Neurospora crassa OR74A: one gene and its partners. Each later gene encodes a partner of the first gene's protein in a complex. Links are inferred from orthologs where the notes say so. Each region holds a gene or a part of one and is shown in the gene's direction. Other genes may lie near its edges. The genes, in order: NCU03159, NCU08026, NCU00812 and NCU04155.

Region 1 (4,147 bases):
ATTACACGGCATCAGCACACCATGTTTAAGCTTGGGAATCCTTGGAGAGGCGCTCGTGGAAAAAGGTTATAGAGTCATGCTGTTTGACTTTTTCGGGCGCGGGTATTCCGATACTCCAACAGACATCCCCTTTGACATCCGGCTTTACTCGACTCAGATCCTCCTGGCTTTGGCATCTTCAAAACTACCATGGACCGGCGACAACGGATTCCACATGATTGGTTATTCCCTAGGCGGAGGCATCGCCGTCTCGTTCGCCAGATACTACTCGCACATGATCCGGTCCTTGGTACTCGTGGCAAGCGCAGGACTGATCCGGTCAGAACACGTGAGCCGAAGGAGCAGGATCCTTTACTCCGAAGGCCTGCTTCCCGAGAGGCTGCTCCGGTGGCTCATACGCCGACGGATCACTCCCCAGTCAGCGACAACGACATCCGAAGCCAAAATGGCTAGCGAGGTCGTGACCGCCACCAGCAACAGTGAACAGTCCACCAAGAAGCATCACAAAAACAGCGACGCCAGCGGCGGGGACTCATTCGACAACGCGGTTCTCTTGCCGCACAGGCCCAATAGCACAGTTTCCTCGGTGATGGCCTGGCAGGTCCAGCACCAGCAGGGATTCCTCACGGCTTTTATGAGCAGCATTCGGCATGCGCCCATTTACGAACAGCGGAAGGATTGGCTAAAGCTCGGTCAGCTTTTGGCTGCCAGGCGAAAGACTTCTTCTCCTGGTGCCGATGAGGGAGCCGGGGCAGAACCGTTGCCGGGACTTTTGGGTGGAAAACTCTTGCTGATTCTTGGCTCAACGGATCCGGTCATTGTCAAGGAGGAACTGATACACGACGCCACGTCAGTGTTGGGAGAAGATGGATTCAAGGCTGTTGTAATGGATGGTGGTCATGAAATCGTTATGACGAAGGGAAAAGAGGTGGCGGGCTTGGCGGCAGGTTTTTGGTCACGGAATTAGATAACTTGGTCGCAAGGGAACAACCATTGTATATGATGATATGATACGTAGGATATATGAGTTTCTGGATGTGACTGAAGATTTTAAGAATTATAAATTGTCGTGTTTCATTGTGCGAGTAAAAACAGAAGTGGTTCGAGCTGATGCAGTGAAACGACCAAGGGGACTTACTGATTGTTGGATTCATGTCCGCGGGTTACACCTGCAGGAAGTAGAAGTGCCCTGAAAGACCACGCTAGGTTGCTAATTCAGCGGCTGTCAGGCGGTTTCTCAGCGCGCACTTGCTTTGCATGGATCCAGCTGCCCAAAGCAGCCTGGTACAGGGGGGTGTATTGGTCGATCCTCGCTGCCGTGCAACCACAAACCCCACCAAGGCTGATAGCCTTTCAGGTTGGAGGAAATTTCCCAAACAACCTCCTCCAAAACAAATCGCAGCCCTCACCAAACAACGCCACTTCAAGCTTTGTACAGCCAGTTTGCAACTCGACAACGGTCGAATCTGACATATAACAAATCTGAATCACATCAGGCACCATAACAACCACAAGTCACCAAACATCAGAAACCAAGCCGTCACAATGGCCGCTACAGTTCCAGCTCCCTCGCTGAGCTTCTCGCGACCAACCTTCGCCAAGCTCTCGCCTCACCCGTACCTTCTCACGAACCTCACCGACCCCGAAAACCCCTGCCGTACCAACGGCCGCGCCCCACACGAGGCTCGCCCCGTTCACATCCACACCTCCTCGCTCGCCCACGCCAACGGTAGCGCACTTGTCCGCACCGGCGACACCACGGTCGTCTGCGGCGTGCGCGCCGAGATCCTTCCCGTCACCAACATCCCCCAGTACCGGCCGCGGGAGCCCTCGTACGGCGAAGAAGACAATGACGACAGCGCCGATGTCGATGAGCTAAAGGACTACGACCTCCTGGTTCCCAACATCGAGCTAGCCACCGGCTGCGCGCCGCAGTTCCTCCCCGGCGTGCCACCCACGACGCTGGCGCAGACGCTCAGCACGCGCATCTACTCGCTTCTGCACAGCTGCAAGGTGGTGGATCCCAAGGGCCTGAGGGTGTGGTACACTCCGCCTAAGGAGACCAGGGAGGAGGGCGCGATGGAGGTGGATGAGGCACAGGAAGAGGAAGAAGAGGAGGAGGAAAGGAAACCGGAGCTCAAGGCTTACTGGGTCCTCTATATCGACCTACTGTTCGTCTCCTTCGACGGAAACCCCTTTGACGCAGCCTGGACAGCCGTCATGGCGGCGCTGCGCGACACGAAGCTGCCGCAGGCGCGGTGGGATCCGGATCGCGAGGCGGTGGTGTGCTCGCGGAGCGAGGAGGCAAAGATGGCGCTGGATGTGCGTGGACTGCCGGTTGCCTGCACTGCGACGGTGTTCTTAGAGAAGGAGCACGGAGAGGACTCGGGCTCCTCGGCAGAGAGGAAAAGCAGGCACTGGATCCTGCTGGATCCGGATAGGTTGGAGGAGAGCTTGTGCAAGGAGACGGTCACCGTGGTGGTGGACTGCAGTGGGGAAGAGACGAAGGTGAAGAGCATTGAGAAGCATGGCGGTACGGTGATTGGAAGAGAGCTGATGAGGGGGTTCATTGGTGTTGCTGAGGGGAGGTGGCAAGAGGTGAAGGAGGCGTCGAAGTAGAGTGTCGGTCTATGGCAGACAGGCATCTCAGGCTTGTCCTTTTCACGAGTTTTCACATGAACGAGCGTCGAAATGAGAAGAGCAATGTAACGGATTTGATACCCTAGGATGTACGGTTGGACAAATGCACGCTCAGAGTGGTCTCGATTATCACCATTGGTCTTGAAACAACTTATGATACCTCGATAGCCGGTTTGCCACCAACACGATGTTCTGCCAACATGATCATGAAGGCAGACCTACGCAAAGTTCTCAAAGGCAATGTCAGGGGCGGCAAGAAAGTGAAAACGACAACATCAGAACGAACGCGCCTGTTCAGCAGACCATGGGCAGCAAGGAAAGTGGAAGAGAGCATATCCAGGGCGGTCAGGACAGTGGGTTCAGGGCTCGGTTACCCTCTTTCCTGTTACTATCAAGGGAAGGGAATATCTCTTGACTGGATGCAGAAGGGCCATGGCTATTCCTTCCTTGAGATCCCAACCCTGAGGAAGGAACGGCACTCTAACAAAGTGAGTACCTCAATGGTCACTGCATTTCATGAAGTATCATGCAATTGTATCGCACCTTCCATTTTCCAAATGACGATACAGCCAGTGGTGAAAAATTTTACTCTTCTGATATTGAGCCCTTCGCCCTTCTCATCATCCTCTCTCCCCCATCCACGCCTTCGATTCACCCGTCTTGCAGCGTTTCGGAGGCTCACTCAAAGAAGCCAACTATTCCAGCATACCTCCAGTCCGTGCCTGCGCTTGAAAGCCCAGCTGCCGTTCACTTTCAAGTCACGCCGACTCACGCCACCGTCGGTTAATATGTCAGATCCCTCTCAGCCGGCCATGTCCCCTCTGGCTACCTTCCACCCGTTTCCAAGGCTACCCTGGGAATTACGCAATGAGATCTGGAAGCAGTCTATCCGCCCACTTGACCGCCCTGGAGCCCATATCTTTTGCTTGGACCTGCGGGGGCCGGAAGATGTTACAGCAAAGGAATGTGACATTCAATGCCCTCGTATTCTTTCAGTGCCTTTACATTATGAGCGTCCGTGTCCGCCTTTGGACATCGGCGAGAAATTCATTCACATTTCAGTCCCGGCAAAGACCTTATCGTCCGGACCCGACGGTAATCCCTCAACGTATATGGTCGATGGCGGACTTTGGACCGCCTGCAAGGAGTCACGGGCAGTGATGGAATATACGTTCAACCACCAGAAGTGGGATCCGATAAGGAAGGCATACCCAGCATACTGAAGGAGTCACGGGCAGTGATGGAATATACGTTCAACCACCAGAAGTGGGATCCGATAAGGAAGGCATACCCAGCATACTGGAAACTTTGGAAAGATACGCTCTTAGATCGTATGGACTTCGATATGCCTCCTCCCCCTCCTCGTTCACTTGGCAGTGACGACTCGCCTCCTTCTCCACCTCGACCTCCACGTTCGCCTCGCGAGAGGCCCCCCACGCCCGTTGACCCCTACAGCGCAGAGCGCTCATATCGACCGGTACCGGCAACGGCATTTTTCTGGTCATCA
Region 2 (4,290 bases), on another chromosome or scaffold:
TGAAACAGTGGCAATGCAAGTACCGTCGAGTCTGTGCCGTAGTTATCATCTGTGTGCAATACAGATGGGTACATCAGGGTGTGTCTTCAATTTATTTGATGTTCAACCTCGAGACACAGATGATTTGAAGGGAAACCGGGCTTACGTCGCGGCAAGTGTCCGGTCATTCGTTCTACTGGGTTTGGACTTCTCCTGCACATCATCAAGGGCAATATCTTGGGTCTGATTGGAGATAATCAACTATTTTGCAACTCTTGTTTTCATTGTTCTATCCTTGCTGATATCTTGAAGCCCTATGTAAATGTCAAGGACAGGCACACCGTCGATCCTCAACTACATCCAATTTTACTGGGGTCATTGAGTTGTCGAGTCATGAACACAAACCTTACCTCGTCAAAGATGCGTTGCAACAAAACGTATGAAACGTTCACGCCATCAACTACTGACCGGTCAGTTCAAGGTCATACGCGAATCGGCATCGAGCAGAAGGCGAAGACGACACAGATCAGACAAGCCGTTTTAACTCAGCCCTACAAAGCCGGCCCAAGCCTCCCACGCCCCAAAACGGTGCGCAGGAGACTCGGACAACGGAAGCCAAATGACACCCCGAAGGGAGACACCACAACTAGTCCTCACGCCCCGAAAGACGCTCCAGTGCGGATGGATGGCTCGGCCCGTACATATCGTTGAATGGATAGACTGTTGTCATCATTGTGCATGGGACAAAGGAAAAAAAAAAAAGGCAAAGTACCTACCAGATGGGCATGTCGACTCTCCCACTAGACGCAAGATCGTTTTCAGATCCTATATAACTTGAAGTTTGTTAGCCAACTTGCTCGCAGCATGTGTGGTGAGGGCTGTCGTTGCAAGAAAGAGTTGGGGTGATTGCCATATCAGAAGGTTTTGGTATAATTGGTTATCGCTCATTATTATTCAGAAGCAGAACTGAAAATATTTTGTTTCATCATGGACAATCGGGTGGGTGATGATGTCAGGTGGGGGAAAGAAAACAGAAAGGAAAACAATGTGATGCTTACCTAGTGGGTAGAGACTGAGAAAACGGAGTGGAACAGCAACGGTGACAATAACAACTTTGTCTGTACTATTGATTGTCAGTCAACGGTTCCTCCAAATGAGTTGCAAGTGAAGGATGTGTTGAAGGAGTAGTCAGATGGTAGTGCATGTTTGTTCGATCGCTCAGAGATTATCGCGAGAACTGTGGTTATGGGATCATCATGAGATGTGAAAGGCAAGGGGAAATAAACTTACTCTATCCGTGCGAACCAACGTCGGCCATGTCAGACAGCCAGGACATGCTCTCTAGCAATGGGGTTCGCCATCGCAGAATAACCAAGAGCATGCCTGGACAGTTGACATGACCATGCCATTGCTGCGCCAGCGCAGAAGGCTGCCCAACCAAAGCGACCATGAGCACGGTAAGACCATGGTATCATGGCTGCTCCCCAAAGACAGTGGCCATATCAAATGAAGGCATTGATCCAATGCCGACAATCGCAAGCCGTTCCTGCCGTTGCGAACGGTGTGGGTTGGTGGAAGAGTTCAAGATGAGGTTGGAACTGAAGGCGGCAGAGTTTTGTAGCTGCGCAAAAAATTCCTCCATCGGTGGCTTTGACATGGAATTCTGGGTGGGGCATGTGGCTGACTGATCAAAATCGACAGTGAATGTGAGGTTGCGCCACAACTACTTGAATTTGAGAGTGGACCCACTGCAGTGTAGACGGCGACTCTCACGTCTTGTTTTCAACAGTCAACAGAGGTACCAACAGAAGTTACCAACCGTGAAACAAGGAAAGCCATACACAGACGAGGTCTCTTCCTCTTCACCTATCTCAGGATTCTTCGACCAGAGAAGGGCATCGGAAACAACACAGCAATCACCAAGCCCACCATATCTCCGGCCCTCGTATCTTGGCTTCAAAATGGCCGACAGAAGACGTATTAACGGACCGGTTGGGACTACCAACCCTCCCATCTATGACGATGCACCCGAGAAGCAATCCGAAGGTTTCAAGGTCACAAGGTCACGCCCGGCGAACGTAATTCGCAAAATGTGTAAGCACGTCGAGGACAAACCCTCCTGTTTCGCAGACACAGACTAACCTCACGTTTAGATCTCAAGACGGGAGTGACACCGTCGGCCTCTGGCTCTGCTTACCTAGAGATCGAGTCGTCTGGAAACGGCGGCTCTGGCTTGAAGCTCAGTTGCAGCGTTCATGGACCTAGAGCTTTGCCCAGGTCAACACCTTTTTCTCCTCACATCATCTTGTCCACCCATGTCAAGTTTGCACCCTTTGCGACCAAGCAAAGGCGTGGTTACATTCGTGACCCGATCGAGAGAGATCTCGGCACTCACCTTGAGACGGCTCTTCGGGGATCTATCATTGCTGACCGTTGGCCAAAGAGTGGAGTGGATATCATCATCTCCATTGTTGAAGGAGAGCAAGATCGGGAGACCTCCAAGGCCCAGGGTATTGAGGCCTGGGACACCATGAATGCCTTGAGTGGCTGCATCACCGTTGCCTCGGCTGCACTTGCTGACGCTGGCATTGACTGCGTCGACACTGTGGCCGGAGGTGTTGCTGCGTTGGTACAGGACGCAGGTAATGACGCTGCTCCCAGCATAGTTGTCGACCCGATTCCTTCTGAGCATGAGAAGGTTCTTGCAGCGTGCTGCATCGCATATCTTCCCACACGACAAGAGGTCACCAACCTCTGGTTCAAGGGTGACCTACCTGCGTCCGATATGGACGTTTATACGCAGCTGATTGAAAAGGGCATTCAGGCTTCCAAGAGCGCCAACCGCGTGCTCGTGGACTGCCTGAACGAGACCGTTGGGTGATCATGAGGTCGGCGCGGCAATGTATTATTTGTTTTAGCTATGCGCGAATGGGAAATACTCGTATTGAAACCTGTAAGTCCATCAACGGGAAAAACGCATGGAATTCTATGGTCTGACGGTTCATGGTCTTTGAGTACCTCTACGATTTTGGTCGATTTATCGACCCGAAGACCAGCTTCTGATGCAATAGGTCGAGCTACCAGCCACTTGGTCTTTCGCAATAGCCCATATGTAGGGCAGAAGTAACGGAAGATGCCAATCGATAGCAGCGACAACAGAACTGCGTTCCGAGGTTCGGCGGCTGACTGCAAGAATGGAATGGTCAACTTCCGGCGGGAATAGTTTCGAGATGCCTGTCAAGGTCTGACAGGTTGAGCGAGCGCTCTTTTGCTGAAACTCAGCTGGAAGATCGCAGTGTGATGGACGAATGACGTCCAAGAAGCGTTGTGGCTGGTATGCAGAGCTACCCTCTGAGGTTGACTGCCGAAACATTATGAACCGCGGGGTATGAGAAGCTTCCACGTTCTTCGCCTCAATGATCGTCTGTTTCTGAAATTGGAAACATGATGTGGGGAGATTACGCGTATCGTTTCGTTCATAGCAGCACGGCATGTTCGAAGCAGGGCAGACATGGCCAAAGGTGGTGGCTGATCATGAACCGAGGTTTCACTATTACTGCGTAGGGCATACATACACTACACCTGAACTACTTTCTTTTCGTGTCCGGCACGATCTAATCACTTTATCTGAAGGGGACTGTGGTGAATAGCTCGTATCTTTATCAACATTTCGAGGTGGAGGTAACATAACATGATCAACTACATAATCTGCACAAAGATCGAGTAACGTTGCGTTATTACCGGCGTTCTGGTCCGTAACTTTCAGCATTACGAACGCCACCAAGGAAACCCAATGGAACTGAAGTCACTGCATCCGAAGGCGGACGTGGTACCACCACTCACATATTGGCACAGTGCCGGCCGCGTTCAGCGACGGGGCGCCCCCCGGCGTGGCGTGGTCCCGGGCCCCTCTTTCCCCTGAACTTCTCCTTATCTGCCCCCCCACGGTCCCTCCAAAAAACTACAGACATTTCCCAGTTCGGCCCACATTGTCCACTCAGGCGGGAATTGTAAAACGACCTGACAATCCAATCTTTCCCGTCATCCTCCAAAATCTCACCTCACCCAGCTTTCGGGCGAGTTTTCTCTCGCTTCGCACCTGGTCATTTCACTTTTCCCAAAACCACCCCTACTCTCGTTTCTTCCGACGGTCCCGGCTGCCTACCTACCTACCTACCTACCTACCTACCACACTGTACACTTTTAATTATTCCATAGTGTTTTGTCCATTCGTTTTGCGGCCGGTAATTCCTCCTTCCAGCCTTGCTTGTACCGTCGATCAATTCGTTCCGTCTCCACTGCGATTCCGCA
Region 3 (4,650 bases), about 2.3 Mb from region 1:
GATTGGCTGGCCCCTTTGCTATCCCCCGCCTACATAATTCGCCGGCAGTTCGGTGGAACAATGGAACCCTTCGACGACGCACAAAGGCGTAACGCTGACTTCCAGGTTTGTATTATGCAGCACCTTTGACCCACTGCAAGAATAGGTAGGTCACGTCCAGCTTGCCAAAGTCAAAGAAGCCATTGTTGTTTCGCTGACAATAGACTCGTCATCGTGACCCCATTCGTTGAGTTCCTTTCTCTTCGTTTTCACTCAAAGGGGCCCAAGACAGGACGCACGTGCATTGACTGGTGTTCTGGAGATTAGGTGAGCATGGGGGCGGGAAGGTTCCGTTGCTCTGGCGTCAAGGATAGCAGCGCTAGCCCTGTTTCTCGAAGCCTGGTCGCGGTCGGGTGGTCTGAAACGAGATGAACGGAAACGGGGGCAATGCCAACCAAAGAGCTTTGATCCCTAACACATGTCCGGATTAAGTGCCGCGAAATGTGTTAGCGAGCCCCCTTGGCTAATTCATGGTTCGTTCATCCACAGTTTGATTAAAAGTGTAATGCGAATTGGCGTTGGCGGGTCGTTCCTTGGTAGACTGGGCAACACAGCACTTCCCCATTGCCCCGTTTCTCCGTTCCATTGGACCCCGTGGGCTGGTCGGGCCACCAGCGCAGTAATTCTTCAATGAGTAAGCGCGCACCTCGAGGTTTTCACAGTGAAACGAGAAACAAACCGCGCCTGATGAAACTGTTTAGTTGACAAAGACATTGTGGTCACTGGATGACGACTTGCTCATGGTGGATCTCTGTTCAGTCATATCGATAGACTAGGCCAATTCGTGCTAGCCTGGGCCGGCTGTCTAGGGCTGCATCATGCGCCGACCGACGGCGCCTCCTAGTGTAGAGACTTGATGTTGAACAAGTCTCCCCAAAAACACCAAACGGAATCCTCTTGAACCTTGATCGATTCGCACCCCAGATAGGGAGCTCCAGGAGCATTGGCGAGCGTTCCAGACTTCTAGAACCGGATCACTCTTGGGTCCGAGATGATAGAAGATGACGACGCGCTCAACCGAGGCTTCCAAGAATACAAACCAATTGACATTTCGAACACCCAGCGCATCGCGGTACCCATGAGATGATCTTGGTGGCCGTTGTCCCGTATTCACTTAGCGAAGGGGGGAATGGAGGAATGCCGGTTTCCTCCTTGCTGTTGACAAGGGGTCACTGCCACTGCCACAGTGTGCCCCTGAGTAGAGGTAGCCTACCTACCTCTAGGTAGGCTACCTAGTAGTGATCACTCCTGAGTCCAGACTTCAGGCCCTCTCCTGCTCACAATGCACGATCAAGATCCCATCAACATTGCGCATTCGATTGATATCTTGCCATCAACTCACTGTACCGCTATGAGCTGGAGAGGTCAAATGGGGGCTGTCAAGATCACGTGGAGAGTAGATGGACGGGAACCTTCAATTCCATGTTCCGGGGCCATCACGTCCCGTCCTCTGTCTGCAGCTGCAAACAACTTGCCTACAAGTAGTGTAGAGGTATGCACAGACCACTTGCATGCATTTTCAGCTCCTGATGGAAGCGAAGCAGAACTTAAGCAGAAGCCCTGCGGATGGAACTCCCGTCCTGCCGAGTGAGGTGAGCGGTGGAGCCCGGCACGGCGACCCCGCGAACGTGAGACGCAGCGGATCTTGCCCCGCCCCGCCCAGCTAAACTTTTCCTGTCTTGCCATTGGAAACTTTCGGCCTGGCCCAACCACGTCCGTTTATTCCTAGCAAAAGGCGATTTCAAAGTCAACAACCGTCCACCAGAACCTGCTGTCGATTATTCAGACTGGTCGACCGGAAGCTCCGAATTCCCACTTTGCGCGATAACTTAGTCACTGAAACTGGGGCCCCGACACTTCCGCATTACGCAAGCCTTTCTCTCCTCCGACTCAACGTACCGAGAGCTTGCGCGTCGCTCGCGGCACGATATCGCATCGAATAATCTGTCCCATCGAGCCGAAACTGTACGCACTAACCACGATCTCCCAGATCGAGCTTGGCCGACCCGACTCGAAGAACGACTAGGGTACAACTACAAGCACAACCTGAGCTTGGTGGACACTAAGCAGGGGAAGCAAGAGCAAAAAATCTCGACTCAGGTCCGGCTCCCCAGACAGGCCCTCAGGGCGTTTGTTGTTGTTGATCCTTACTGGATACCGTACCCCAATCTCGACCTTTGGTGTACTCGCTACCTGCCCGGTAGAGAGATTAGCCCGAACCACGATACCCAGAGGAGTAGAGTGAAACGCTAGAACAACAGAACATAGAAAGAAACACCTGTCCACCCAGCTACACCGCTATGCCTCTCGATACTTCAGCATATAGCCTCGCGCTGTTGCGCGTCGACGGCCGCAGGTGGAACGAGCTGCGTCGCATCCATGCCCAGATCCGCACCCAGGCCGCCGCCGATGGCTCCAGTTACCTCGAGATGGGCCACACCAAGGTCATGTGTGTCGTTAACGGACCCAGCGAGCCCGGTCCTCGGAGGGGAGCCACGTCGGGCGGTGGTGGTGGCGGTGGTCAGTCCAAGAACGCCGAGGTTGCTGTAAACATTGTCATTGCCGGGTTTAGCTCGGTTGACCGTAAGCGAAGGGGGAGAGGTGATAAGTAAGTCAAAACACCCAGGGGTTGTTTCCCCCCCAGTGTCAACTACGGCTATTCGTCTGTCACTGTTCGCATAACTAACCCGTCATCCTTCCTTCTTCCATCATCACAGGCACATCCTCGAACTCCAATCGACGATATCTCAAGCCCTCGCTGCCAGCTTACACACCCACCTCTTCCCGCACTCCACCATCAACATCTCCCTGCACGTGCTCTCGCAAGACGGCTCTTTGCTGGCCGCCCTCATCAATGCCGCCACGCTCGCCTGCGTCGACGCCGGCATTCCCATGACAGACTACGTCGCGGCCTGCACGGCCGGCTCGACGTCTACATACGCGGCTAACGACGAGGGCGCCGACCCGCTGCTGGACATGAACCACCAGGAGGAGCAGGAGCTGCCCGGCCTGACGGTGGCCACATTGGGCGACAGCGACCGCGTGGCGGTGCTGGTCTGCGAGAGCAGAGTGCAGGTGAGTCGCCTGGAGGGCATGTTGGCCGTGGGCGTGGACGGGTGTAAGCAGGTGAGGGAGATCTTGGACAGGGTAGTGAGAGAGAAGGGGATAAAGATGATACAGGAGGGCACGGTCGAGAGAGGGGTTGGGTTGAATGACATGGAACTGGATTGAATGGACACTACTGAATCAATGGTTGGGCTCCGGGTCACAGAATCGGATATGGTACGGTAGGTAGCATTACAAAGGCTTGGAGCAAAAAAGAATAGGCAACATGACGAATTTGACGAATTTCACGACTATCAATGTAATCAAAAGTACAGCTCTTGGTCAGGTGAGCAACATGTCGTTTCTGTTAAACGTGCGCCAACTTTTGAAAGCGTTCTCCGAAACTGAAAGGTACCAAAAAACCTTCAACTTTTGACCAGCCATTCACTGACACAAGTCACAGCAAACTACGCTTTCACCAATCTCTCACAGCTCATCGTGACCACTGGCCGTCTTCGACTGGGCCTCAGGCGTCTCCCCCTCCTTTGAAGCAGCCTTCTCAGCCTTACCAGACTCTTTCTTTTCCTTCTTCTTCTCCTCCTCCTCCGTCGAAGAAGCCTCAACAACAATACCCTCCGGCAGCTTTTTCTTGGTGCCCTCGCTCAACCTAATCGCATCAATCCACGCCTCCACCTTGTCATGATCCGAGAAATCATCTCCCTCACCAACAGCGTCGTAGCGTCTCCACCATCCGCGACGGGCGTTGATGACGATGAGTTCAATGTCAGCATCCTCCTTGAGGCCAAGGGATTTGAGAAGGGACGCGCCGGCGGGGTTGGTGTCGAGGGGCACCTCGTAAAAGGGGAAGAGCTTGTGTTGGCCGAGGGCATATTTGAATTTTATTTCGGCGAGGTGGGTGAGGGCCTTTTGGGCTTTTTCGTTGGAAGAGGATACCAGCGCGAGAAGGCAGGTGCTGGATTTGGACGTGAGGCATTCCTTGACGAGCTTTTCGGGGGTGTTGAGGGAGGGGATGGGGAGGGCGGTGTGGATTATTACGGGAATCTCTTGGGTTGGGGCAGGGGTTTCGGAGGACGTTTCAGAGGAGGTTTCGGAGGAGGCGACCTTCTTGGAGTCTTGCTTTCCGTTTTTTTCACCACCGTTGGCCTTGCCGTTGGCCTTACCATTAGCCTTGCCATTAGCCTTGCCATTAGTCTTGCCATTAGTCTTGCCATTAGTCTTGCCGTTGGCCGGTGCTGGGTCCGGATTAGGCTGGGCCGCCTGGGAAAGGAACTCCACCATGGCGGCCTTGTTGATCTCGCCGTCGTACACAATACCAGGGGCATCACCGCCAGGCAACAAGATCAGAGTAGGGAGTTTGTCGACACCGAATGTGGATACCGCCTTGGACTGAGTGTTTCGCACCTGACCGACGGGCATGACACCGAGGAATTCAATGGCGACGCTCTTCAGCAAGGGGGAGGTGGTACCCTTGTCGGTGAAGAGGAGCGCTTTGGCTGTCTCGTTCTTGTCACTCAGGAACTTGTCGAGGTTCTTGTCCTCGACTTT
Region 4 (3,927 bases), on another chromosome or scaffold:
AACCTTCGTAAGCAAAACACCCTTCGCGAAGGGGACAGTTCGTAAAGCACAATGCTTAGAACTTGCCCTTGAGCAAGTTGCTAATCATCTCGCGGCCGGTGATGACGGAGGTGCGCCAGAGGGTAGGGAAATCGAGCGTGCTGCTGAGGGTATCGGCATAACCGAAGAACAGCATGGGAGGGATCCAGCCGCGCGCATACTCGAGCGCGAAGCAGCTCTCGGGCATCCTGTACTGCTTGACGGTACCGCGGACGAGGTGGTGAACGGAACCGGGAGGGTAGACCTCAGGCTCGTACTCGCCGGGGACGTAGGCAGTCTGAGTGCCGGTGAGGATGTGGAAGTAGTCGTCGGCGGTGTGGCGGCCGGTGTGACCCTCAGTACCGATGGCAGTGCCTGTTGTGTGGAGTGTGCTGTTAGTGATGGGTCTGAAGAAGCGGGAAGCACAAGCTTGCGAAACGCGTGCTGGAGGATGGGGCTTACCAAAGATAATCAGGTACTCGGTGATGGAGGCGTGGATGATGTACATAGCACCCATGGCACCACCAGCGTTGTTGAACACCCACTCCTCATCGTTGTTGACGTAGGGCGCAACGCCGTTGCGGTCGTTCAGCTCGTCGACAATGTACTTGACAATAGCCTTGGTGTCGTTGCCGTGGGCGCTGATGGCGCGCTTGGACAGATCGTGAAGGTGCTCAGTATCGAAGACGTAGAAGGACTCGAGACGCTGCTCCAGGACGTAGGCGATAGGCGCAACTAGGGCGAACAAGATGGCGAAGAACTTGAGCCAGCCACCGATACTGCAGCGGCAGCGGCAGCTGCAGCGGCAAGACGAACCGGAGGAAGAGCGGCCGGAGCTAGAGCCAGAGCCGGACGGCTTGTTGCCGCCGGAGGAGGACTGCTTCTTGGGAGGCATTGTGACGGTTTGTGATTGACGAGACGGCACAATGTCGAGGAGGAGAAACAGGGGAGAGAGAAGACGGGAATCTTGAATTATAAAGAAGCAAAACAATGGCCACAGAGATTCCACCACCGACAGGGGGGTCCGTCAGCCCAACCTCAACAAACCTACCCACGGCAACCCCTGATTTCCTTGTGGAGGACCCTTGTGGTTGCAACATGCCCGCCCAGGCGGGTGTTGCGACTTCCGACACGTTCGATTTTGAGAGCTTTGACCAATAAGGACGCTCAATTGCGCGGATAGCGTTAAACCGATTTCTTGAAGGAGCCACCGCTACGACCAATTGGAGGCAGACACACCGGCAGGCTGGAGTGCATCCAGAAGCTCCGTAAAGCTCCCCTCGCCGGCAGGGCAGCTCAAGTTGCCCGGCAGCACTGTCGGTGCAAAGCACTCAGCGCGGCACTAACAGCGCTCTTGGCACTGACAGGGGTTTCTATTTTTTCGGTGCCCCTCCGTCATTGAGTCCCGTCCGCGGGCCCGGTCAATCACATTTCAATATTCCATCGAATGGACATTTACCTCCACGTACCAGAAGCTCCAATCTCAGTTGTTATCGCCGCGGGGTCCGTTTTGTCGCATCGTTATCTTTTTTTTGTTTAGTTTCCCTCTGCGCGTCGCACCGCGTCTCATACTATACCACTTTTACCCATTCGCAAACTTTTGTCATCGATAGCTCCATCAACCTAGAACGACCGACACAATGGCGAGCACATCCTCTTCCCCTTCGATGGCCATCCCCGGCCAATTCCTAGGCCCTGTCTCCAAGTTCCAACCCGGTCCTGGAACCCATATCCACGAGTCGAACCTCTACTCTTCGCTGCTCGGCGTCGTCAACATCACACAGCCCGCCAAGGCGCCTGGCCCTGCTAAGCGCTTGAACAAGATCATCAACACCCAGACCACGCCCGCCGAGCTACCGACCATCTCGGTATTGCGTTCAGCGGGTTCGTCAGACAAGCGCGAGGTGCTTCCTGAAGTGGGCAACATCGTGCTATGCCGGGTGATTCGCATCATGCCGCGCCAAGCCGTTGTGGCCATTCTAATTTGCGGCGATACTGTTTTGGAGGCCGAGTGGCAGGGCCTGATCAGAGTGCAGGACGTGAGAGCAACAGAGAAGGACAGGGTAAAGATCTACGACAGCTTCAGGCCTGGAGATATTGTCAGGGCCGAGGTGGTGAGTGCTCTTCTCCTCTCCCTTTCTGCCAGACATGGACTGAACACTTCCGCTAACGTGCTGCCACCCACTAGATTTCTCTTGGTGACCAAGCCAGCTACTACCTGTCGACAGCGCGTAACGAGCTCGGTGTCATCATGGCGACAAGCGAGGCCGGTAACACCATGTACCCCGTCAACTGGAAGGAATACAAGGACCCTGAGACGGGGCTAAGCGAACCCAGAAAGGTTGCGAAGCCCTACTGAAGTCGGCGGATGGAGTTTCGAAATGAGACATGAAAAAGATGCTTGAAAAGCAATGCATAGCGGAGTTACTAGCTTGAGGTACAGCGTGTTATCAAGGCGATACGGGCGTTAATCTGCTCGGAGAGCTCGCCGAGTAGTGAAAGCAGGTGCTCAATCAGTACCCGGTTGGGGACTTGCAAATGCGGCGGCACGTCGAATGTCGAGCTCTCACGGTCCGCCGGTCCATCATCGACACGGTCGGCCACTCGCATCACAAGCAAGCATCCCAGCGACAAATCCAAGCCCAGAGATGTCCTGGCCCCAGAGTTTCCGGCGGATACTCCAGGTACGCCAAGTTAGACCGCGCAGAACATGGTCTTGGGTGATAGGGCTCGCACTCAGAGAAGTATGGAGATGGGTACATGTCACGATTCACTCTTGACACAGCGGAACAACACAGTCATGATACAGCGCCTGTTTCAGGGATAACGAAGACGATGGCGAGTTAGTATGATCTTGTCACGTCGAGGAAAGATATAGTGACGCCAGACACGGCTACGCCTGTCATTGCATCAAGAAACTGGATACCCGTTTAAAATCTGCATAGAAGATACCAATAGCCTTCTTCATACGTACCTTACTATTCCCTTGCATACCTAGGTACATACCTCATCTGTTGTCTGTGCCGTCATCCGCCGCCTGGGCCAAACGTTAACGAGTGCTGTTTCTTTAAGGCGGCTCAAGGGCGGCTTGGCGTCTCGTATACCCCCCACATGGGCCTTGCATCGTGCATGCGGTACCTACATACCGCTGAAGATCATCGGAACGGCGGGGGGGCGTAGAACGGGGGAGGGCGGTAGATTCCCGTACGTCACCGAAACCCTGCGTGCCTAGAGGTACCTAGACACATTCATTCCACCCATTTCTTGTCCTCCCTTTTACAGCTTTGTCATTCTTCAAAAAAGGAGGAGGCAGAGTGGGAGCTCTGGCGGCGTGTTGGTTAGCGATCTCACTCAGCGCCCCCCAGATACACAAAACAAAGTCTAAGACGAAAACAACAAGCTCCCTGCCCCTGTTTCAACGGGAACCAGTCCATCCCCACCGCAACGGCGTCTCCATCTAGTTTTCTTGTTCCTGGCAGGAGTCCACTTCGTTCCCGAGAAGAAAATATCGAGATCAGACGAACCGCTTCAATCCATCATCTTTGATTTTCGTCCAATCCGACAAGACGCGCGAACTCTCCTTGTCGATATCATCTGTCCTAACGGGGCCCTGGTGAGCCATGTCAACCACCGCCACCATGACGATGACCGCCGCCCCCGTCATCGTCGAACCGGTCACCCAAACGTTATCTACCGCTCCTTGCTGCCCACAATGCGGTATCGATCTCGAGGGGACCCAACCCTTCTTGGAGATGCAGGCGGCCGTTCTCGATGCCCACAACAAGATCCAAGAACTTCAAAGCCAAGTGCGCCTGCTCAACGAAAAGGCTTCATCCGCCGTCGATCGTTGGGCCGACTACGAAGACGAGATAGCCCAACTACGAGGGCAACTCAAACAGCAGCAGCAAC

The links.
Region 2: NCU03159 (region 1) and NCU08026 share a complex: the UniProt entries of both Schizosaccharomyces pombe proteins name them as parts of the RNA exosome complex. The link is inferred for Neurospora crassa OR74A from reciprocal best matches to the Schizosaccharomyces pombe genes rrp43 and mtr3.
Region 3: NCU03159 (region 1) and NCU00812 share a complex: the UniProt entries of both Schizosaccharomyces pombe proteins name them as parts of the RNA exosome complex. The link is inferred for Neurospora crassa OR74A from reciprocal best matches to the Schizosaccharomyces pombe genes rrp43 and rrp41.
Region 4: NCU03159 (region 1) and NCU04155 share a complex: the UniProt entries of both Schizosaccharomyces pombe proteins name them as parts of the RNA exosome complex. The link is inferred for Neurospora crassa OR74A from reciprocal best matches to the Schizosaccharomyces pombe genes rrp43 and csl4.

What each region holds. Positions count from the first base shown.
Region 1 is NC_026501.1:4,751,983-4,756,129, forward strand, and holds NCU03159 (3' exoribonuclease), read left to right. Parts: upstream 1-1,348; 5' UTR 1,349-1,545; coding exon 1,546-2,619; 3' UTR 2,620-3,189; downstream 3,190-4,147. Other genes in the region: NCU03158 (alpha/beta hydrolase), read left to right, coding at 1-967; NCU03160 (hypothetical protein), read left to right, coding at 3,429-3,845, 3,926-4,147. UniProt on the Schizosaccharomyces pombe protein: Non-catalytic component of the RNA exosome complex which has 3'->5' exoribonuclease activity and participates in a multitude of cellular RNA processing and degradation events.
Region 2 is NC_026504.1:3,956,401-3,960,690, forward strand, and holds NCU08026 (3' exoribonuclease), read left to right. Parts: upstream 1-1,747; 5' UTR 1,748-1,940; coding exon 1,941-2,073; intron 2,074-2,132; coding exon 2,133-2,860; 3' UTR 2,861-2,932; intron 2,933-2,994; 3' UTR 2,995-3,692; downstream 3,693-4,290. UniProt on the Schizosaccharomyces pombe protein: Non-catalytic component of the RNA exosome complex which has 3'->5' exoribonuclease activity and participates in a multitude of cellular RNA processing and degradation events.
Region 3 is NC_026501.1:7,077,006-7,081,655, reverse strand, and holds NCU00812 (exosome complex exonuclease RRP41), read left to right. Parts: upstream 1-1,732; 5' UTR 1,733-2,339; coding exon 2,340-2,647; intron 2,648-2,756; coding exon 2,757-3,270; 3' UTR 3,271-3,570; downstream 3,571-4,650. Other genes in the region: NCU00813 (disulfide isomerase), read right to left, coding at 3,571-4,650. UniProt on the Schizosaccharomyces pombe protein: Non-catalytic component of the RNA exosome complex which has 3'->5' exoribonuclease activity and participates in a multitude of cellular RNA processing and degradation events.
Region 4 is NC_026505.1:5,018,187-5,022,113, reverse strand, and holds NCU04155 (exosome component 1), read left to right. Parts: upstream 1-1,353; 5' UTR 1,354-1,658; coding exon 1,659-2,132; intron 2,133-2,206; coding exon 2,207-2,377; 3' UTR 2,378-3,008; downstream 3,009-3,927. Other genes in the region: C-8 sterol isomerase erg-1, read right to left, coding at 56-393, 481-913; NCU04154 (hypothetical protein), read left to right, coding at 3,639-3,927. UniProt on the Schizosaccharomyces pombe protein: Non-catalytic component of the RNA exosome complex which has 3'->5' exoribonuclease activity and participates in a multitude of cellular RNA processing and degradation events.